Linked DNA regions of Cricetulus griseus. The protein of the gene in region 1 binds, or shares a complex with, the protein of each later gene. Links are inferred from orthologs where the notes say so. Each region holds a gene or a part of one and is shown on either strand. Other genes may lie near its edges. The genes, in order: Hcrtr2 and Hcrt.

The links.
Region 2: the proteins of Hcrtr2 (region 1) and Hcrt are in contact, whole or in part, in a cryo-EM structure (PDB 7L1U), measured with the Homo sapiens proteins. The link is inferred for Cricetulus griseus from reciprocal best matches to the Homo sapiens genes HCRTR2 and HCRT. Residues at the interface, in NP_001371201.1 of Homo sapiens: Thr111, Val114, Trp120, Pro131, Gln134, Thr135, Val138, Gln187, Val209, Cys210, Asp211, Phe227, Thr231, Ile320, Ser321, Asn324, Lys327, Arg328, Phe333, Ala334, Thr336, Arg339, Val342, Tyr343, Phe346, His350, Tyr354; in NP_001515.1 of Homo sapiens: Asn89, His90, Ala91, Ala92, Gly93, Ile94, Leu95, Thr96, Met97.

The regions. Positions count from the first base shown.
Region 1 is NC_048597.1:187,448,870-187,452,693, reverse strand, and holds part of Hcrtr2 (orexin receptor type 2), read left to right. Parts: intron 1-846; coding exon 847-1,025; intron 1,026-3,824. UniProt on the Homo sapiens protein: Nonselective, high-affinity receptor for both orexin-A and orexin-B neuropeptides. Triggers an increase in cytoplasmic Ca(2+) levels in response to orexin-A binding.
Region 2 is NC_048600.1:113,801,479-113,804,519, reverse strand, and holds Hcrt (orexin), read left to right. Parts: upstream 1-1,488; coding exon 1,489-1,509; intron 1,510-2,152; coding exon 2,153-2,524; downstream 2,525-3,041. UniProt on the Homo sapiens protein: Neuropeptides that play a significant role in the regulation of food intake and sleep-wakefulness, possibly by coordinating the complex behavioral and physiologic responses of these complementary homeostatic functions.

The DNA.
Region 1 (3,824 bases):
GAATTTAATATCCATCATTAACTGTTTTTATATTTTATGAGTTCTTAAACGGATCCAACAAATGCCCTTGTCTCAATTATCTCACATATGAAGCATGGCTGCTGATGCCTTCCTGTAAGATTTGTCCAAATAAAGTACTATAAATATGTCAACTGTTTGGATGTTTGGCACAAGTAGGGGTTGAATAATAGCTCAATGGTAGAAAGTTGCTTTATTTGTTTGTTTGTTTTTCTCTCCCATAGTTAAAAATTTTCCTCTGTTGGGTGTCCACCAAGAAGACTTGTAGGAAGAAATGGGTCAAGGTCTTGTATGAGACAATCACAACTCTAATTCTCCTCACTTAATTCAGCCTCAGCAACTATTTCATCTCTCTTTTTTCTTTCATTCATTCTTTCTTTAAATTTTGGTAGGATTTCATTTTGTAGGGTTTCCTTCAGTGCCTTGATGACCCCAGAATTCACTATTTAAAACTAGGCTAATCTCAAACTCACAGAACTCTGCCTACCTCTGCCTCCTCCTTATCCCAGCAACTATTTCTTGATGTTTTTCTACATACTAAGTATTGAAACAATAGAAAGATCAATCAGAGACTGTCCTTCGACTTGACATGCAACCCAAAAACAGCACAGCCCTTATGAATAGGAAATACAGTGTCAGGTCAATGAGCTCATCTTAACCTTAGATGAAAATTCCCAGAGATTAATGGACTGAATGACGACAGTACAGCCTTAAACTCTCTCCTTTTCAGCCCTGTATATGGACTTTTTAAGTGTTAATTATCTTGAATTTTCTCATTGATACCTAGTGTCTTTATTCATTCCCCATCTCTTTTTCTTTCTCTATCAGTCTGCGTGGCAGTGTGGAAGAACCACCACATGAGGACAGTCACCAACTACTTCATAGTCAACCTTTCCCTGGCAGACGTGCTTGTGACCATCACCTGCCTTCCAGCCACCTTAGTTGTTGACATTACTGAGACCTGGTTCTTTGGACAGTCCCTCTGCAAGGTCATTCCTTATTTGCAGGTAATTCTTTTTTGGGCCCTTTGAGAAATTATTTTAAATGTTTTCTATTATAGTCATGACCATCTGGTAAACTAGTTAATTAGTTAAGAAATAAGTATAAATATTCAGAAAGTAAAACACTTAAAGAAGATAATACTTGAGATTTGCTGAATATACAAGTTCAGTTCTAGATAAAATCGAGGCAACAATGCTGTTAATATTTCACAGTCTTCATTACTAGATGAATCATTGAACAAAGTAATGATTTAGCCTCCCCTAGATCAAGTAGCCATGAGCATTTGTTTTTCAATAATCAAGAATATCAGGGTTTTTTGTCTAAATGGTTTCTTTTCATCCTAAGGAATTAAGAGTTATGTGGATCAAAGAGGGGCAACTTGGGACATCAGTTCCGGGTTTGGAATGTCTGTTCTTCCATCTGTAGATGGTACCCTATCAAGTGATGGTACCCTATGTATTCAAAGACTCTTGGCAACTCACTAAAAATGGTAATTTTAATAAGATCTACCTCATATATAGCTGTTATGACAGATTATTTAGATCATTTACAAGAGATTCTTGCTCTGTGATTACCTCATCATGAACTTAAAACAATGCATTAAGAGAGTCAATGACCAGTATCATCACTAGATGTCTCTTGTCAACAGTACCACTGAGACATCTAGTGAGTAAACAGCGAGTGCAGTCTTTCTGTATCTGTTGACAAATTAAAAAAAAGAACAAGTACTTTCAAAAGAATTATTTTCTGACTGTATTTATGAATGTAAAGTCTTTATTAAAATATTCCTGTTAGTGACCATGGCAACACAATCCTAAGAGCTGTGTTCACCTTAGGAAGTGGACAGTGAAGTAAAACACAGGCTGTGTTCCTCCTAGGAAGCATATAGTGAAAGAAAAGATCAATGGTCCCTCTGTATCATCCCACAGTCCCCATCTACCCTTGTCCTTAGTCCCTGCACCATTCTAGGTGGTGATCACAATGTTTCCCAGAAGAAATAATGGGCCTCACGTAAGAGAAATTTGGAAGAGGTCACAAAAATCCATTGCTAGAAACAGTTTTATTTATTCTTTAGAAAGAAAATGTTAGAGACTTCAATTCAGCAGCTCCTTAATGATCTCTTAGACATAATATGTTTTAAACAGCTGACATCATTTATAGTATATGTGGTGATGCCATAGAAATTATAAGCTACATACAGACATAATGTTTAATTATAAGGTTTGTGGGCTAGCATGCTGAGAGCCATCAGTGGATTACAAAATAAACTGTAATAAAATTTGGGGAAATATTAAAATGAATAAAAGGAAGAACATCCTCATCATAAACAATTAAGTAAGAATCTATGGTAGGGTTTATATACAGGTATGGTTGAATTTGCACACAGTAACTGAAAAAAATCCAAAAGCAGAAGAAAATTCTAACATCTGAATATTCTTCCTGTTATTTCCAGTAAATTGTATTTCTCTAAGCTCAGTTCCGCTAATTATCCAAGGGGATATGTCTACTCCCTTTGGTTTCAGGGTAGTTTCAACTGTTCAAATCCTTGGTTGCCTGACAACCTTCATGGTATCTATCTTATGAACCAGATGTTTTGATTGAGAGGATGACGGAGTGAGAAAGTATCACATGTGCCAGGAGTGTGCATTCTGGCTCTGATACAATCATAGCTTGCTGTGCCATGCACCTCCAAGTCTCCAGGGAGGCCAGAACAAAAGACAGGAAGCAGCATTAACAGCAAGGGATGCAGGCAGGGGTGGCTCCTAAAGTCACTGGCATTGGTCCTTCCCCCACTCCCACCCCAAAACAGTTTATAAGCATGTTCTAGAAGTCAAAGGACAAACAGAGATTCTGGATCCTGCATAAACAGTGTCCAGTTCATCCATCTCCACAAGAGAAAACCAATGTGTATTCACAGACTCCAAACAAACTGTACTTGTCCTGTAACTCCTTCAACACCTCTTGTTAGAAGCTTAGAAGCATGCCAGGGCTCTTCCTTTTGTGTAGAAGCCTTGAGTTAAGCAGTTTTGTATCTCAATTAACTCTAATTCTATAACCCCTAGCCCTGACCCTATTAAGGATAGCTCCATACATCGATTATGTAGGAATCAGCAGGGTTGAAACATTTATTTCTTTACATTTCCAAGCTAAAGAATCACTTACATGGTTATTCTCATAAAAGTCTATACTGAGAGGACATACATGTTTTTAAGACCAAGTTACTAATTGTCAGTGAGCAAACTATAGCACACATACTCATGTTCAGAAATTCTCTTTTAATATAGTCTAGACCTTTATTTGTGTGCAATGCATTGAAAATAAATTGGACCAAATTACCTATTGTTATTAGAATTTGAAAAAAGATACCCATGACTTATTTATGCTGATGAAATGCAACCAGTGAAAACCTACACGATAACTTAAAATACTCAGGTCATGCCATTCTTTTTTATTGAAAGAAAATACACCCATGTATAATTTCTTTCCCTCTGAGAATACTATTTACACTATCAGTAGAAAAGCTATAAAACAGAGTAAAGATAATAACTATTCACAAATTATAAGCTGAGCTTTTAATGTGAGAAAACTGAACAGTTTCAAAGTACCTATTTCACATCTGAGAGGAAATAAAAAAGTTTTCTGATGCATTTCTAGTTTTCATCATCCATTTTCCTAGCATGAAAGTCATTTGCATGAACACATAGAGTAGGCTACCCTGAATTCACTTTGCTCTGCTGTAACTACTTGGCTGATAAGGCAAATAAATGCTCTCACTTTATATTTCTGACACCCAGCAATTCTCT
Region 2 (3,041 bases), on another chromosome or scaffold:
CGCGCACGCCTTTAATCCCAGCACTCGGGAGGCAGAGGCAGGCAGATCTCTATGAGTTCGAGACCAGCCTGGTCTACAAGAGCTAGTTCCAGGACAGCCTGTCTCGAAACCCTGTCTCGAAAAAAAACCAAAAAAAAAAAAAAAAAAAAGCACTTACTACTTTTGCAGAAGTCACGGGCTTGGTACAAGCTCAAAACCATCCATAACTCCACTTCCAGGGAATCTACAACCTTTTTGTTTGTGTGTTTGTTTTTTTCTTTTTTGGTATTCACAGGTACCAGGCACACATGTGGTACATATCCATATATACAGGCTAAGAAAATGGGGTCACAGTCAGGCACTTAATCTCAGCACTGGGGAGGCAGAGGCAGGCAGATTTCTGAGTTAGAGACCAGCCTGGTTTATAGAGTGAGTTCCAGGACAGTCGGGGCTACACAGAGAAACCCCCTCTTAAAAAGCAGAGAGAGAGAGAGAGAGAGAGAGAGAGAGAGAGAGAGAGAGAGAGAGGGAAGGAAGGAAGGAAAGAAGAGAAAGAAAATAAGGTCACATTCTAAGCACACTGCTGTCACTGTGCTCATGCAGAACTGATCTATATCAAGAGATCCTTAAGGAGGCCTTGACAGAGAGCTTTCTTGGTCTGCAAGTGGCATGAGTCGGTTTCCCTTATCCAACATCCATCACCCTCACGCCCTGTTCCATGATGGTTCAATCCTGGAGATGGCAGAGTAAGACTTCAATATCTTCTTGTGTGGCCCAGGAGACATTGCTCTCCACCAGCTTCTAGAAACCAGGCTTGGCTGCTCTCTCATCCATCGCCCACAGTAAGTCTCCAAGACTTTCCATGGAGGAGTTTGGTGAAAGGGACAGAGGAAATGGAGAACTGTGGGGTGGGGAGGGCCGGTCAAGAGCTGTTTCCATGGAGGGAAAGGCCCTGGAAACTGATGGACCCCAGAGTCAGTGACAAGGAGCTGGGGGGGGGGGTGAATGCTACCCAGGTATCCTCCCTACTCCCCCACCCTCTACATACCGTGAACAATGAACAACGGTTCTCAGGCTGCCACTTTTTCTGCCCCTAATTAGTAACCACCCCCTCCCCCATTGTCTCTGGCCAGTGCCCCAGCCACTGCCTCTTTTGTGAACTCAAGATTCCTGGGTGCAAGGTAGCCTCATTAGTACCAGGAGACCGTCCCATCTCCAAGGAACAGGCAGACAGACAAGCGGGGGACCAAGGACAGGGCAGCCATTCTTTGGGTCCAACCTGGAGACGGCTCCACTGCAAGATGCTAATCTTAGACATGCCTTTGTCTGGTTTAAAGTGGACACAAATGCTCATGTCTCCCCTGCCCTCCCCAACACCTCAGAGCACTATAAACCCCTGGCCCCTGGAAGCAGGCCACAGTCGACACGGCATCAGTCTTCTTGGGTATTTGGACCTCTGCACTGAAGACATCATCTTTCCAGATTCTCCTGCCCTGAACTCCAGACACCATGAATCTTCTTTCTACTAAGGTAAAGAGCTAGGAATAGGGCTGAGCCTCATCAAAGCAGGCCACTGGAGTGCTTGCACTGAGGCAGGAGTCTGGGTGGGATCTTGGCAGGCAGGCAGCCTGCTTGGTTAACACTAGTCATGCCAGTTATTCTCTTAGAGGCTCATGTTTACAGAGCTTTTTCGCTTGTCAGTTTATGTCTTCCACTCAACAACATCAGGTAATAGGGATGGCTCAATGCCTACTTTGTAGTGAGGAAGGGGCTGCCCCAAGGGGATAAGAAACTGGTCCATAGCCACAGTGTTCAGTTTTCCCAAGCAAAGGCAAAGTCCTGCTGTGTGTGTAGAGGGAAGGACTACACTAAATAAACTCTTTGTTTCTGCTAAGCTTACATGTTTGGTTCAGACAGACTCAGACACACCTGTCTGCAGGTGGAGGAGTAAGCCTTTAAATATGTTTCCAAGGGACAAACTTATTCTACTGGTGAAAGTCTATGACGGTTTCCTAGAGGAGATGGCTAGTCCATGGATTGAAGAATGAGTTGACAAAGGAGCCAGATGCAGGAAACACAGTGACAGCCAGGCACAATCTCAGGCAAGGAGAGGTTCGGAGCTGACTGAGTAAGGACTGAAACCCATTCGCGCCTTGTCTCTTGTCCCCTTTAGGTTCCCTGGGCCGCCGTGACGCTGCTATTGCTACTACTGCTGCCGCCAGCGCTGCTGTCGCTTGGGGTGGACGCCCAGCCTCTACCCGACTGCTGTCGCCAGAAGACCTGCTCTTGCCGCCTCTACGAACTGTTGCACGGCGCTGGCAACCATGCCGCGGGCATCCTGACTCTGGGAAAGCGGCGGCCTGGACCCCCAGGCCTTCAGGGCCGGCTGCAGCGCCTTCTGCAGGCCAACGGCAACCACGCTGCGGGCATCCTGACCATGGGCCGTCGCGCAGGCGCAGAGCTAGAGCCACATCCCTGCCCTGGTCGCCGCTGTCTGTCCGCAACCGCCACTGCTTTAGCGCCCCGGGGCGGGTCCGGAGTCTGAACCTGTATTCAGTCTGTGTCCTGGTCCTATCTTCTCCCCTCTGCTCGCTAGTGTTAGTCTCTAGGAAAACGGCAATAAAGACGAGTCTCTGTTGGTGTGGCTATTCTTTGTTCCCGTGTGTCAAGTTCAGGCCTCCAGGGGGCGGGGAGGGGCGGGAAAGCATCTTGAGAACTGTGAAGGCTCTAGGGCTCCAGAAGGAGCTTGTGTTTTTTGTCCTAAATACTTGGTCGGGAAGAACCCAGTGCAAGGAGCCTTGAAGAGTCTTGAGGTGCAAGCCTGGGGTGGGGGAGTGGAAGTGAGGTACCAATGTGTCCCGCGTTGTTCTACTATCTACTTTATTGGTTTATTTCTTTTAAAAACGGGTCTTGGCCAGCCAGTGGTGGCCCACGCCTTTAATCCCAGCAGAAGCAGACTCTGTGAGTTCGAAACCAGCCTGATCTACAGAGCTAGTGCCAGGATAGGCTCCAAAGCTATACAGAGAAACCCTGTCTCGAAAAACAAAAACACACAACAAAAC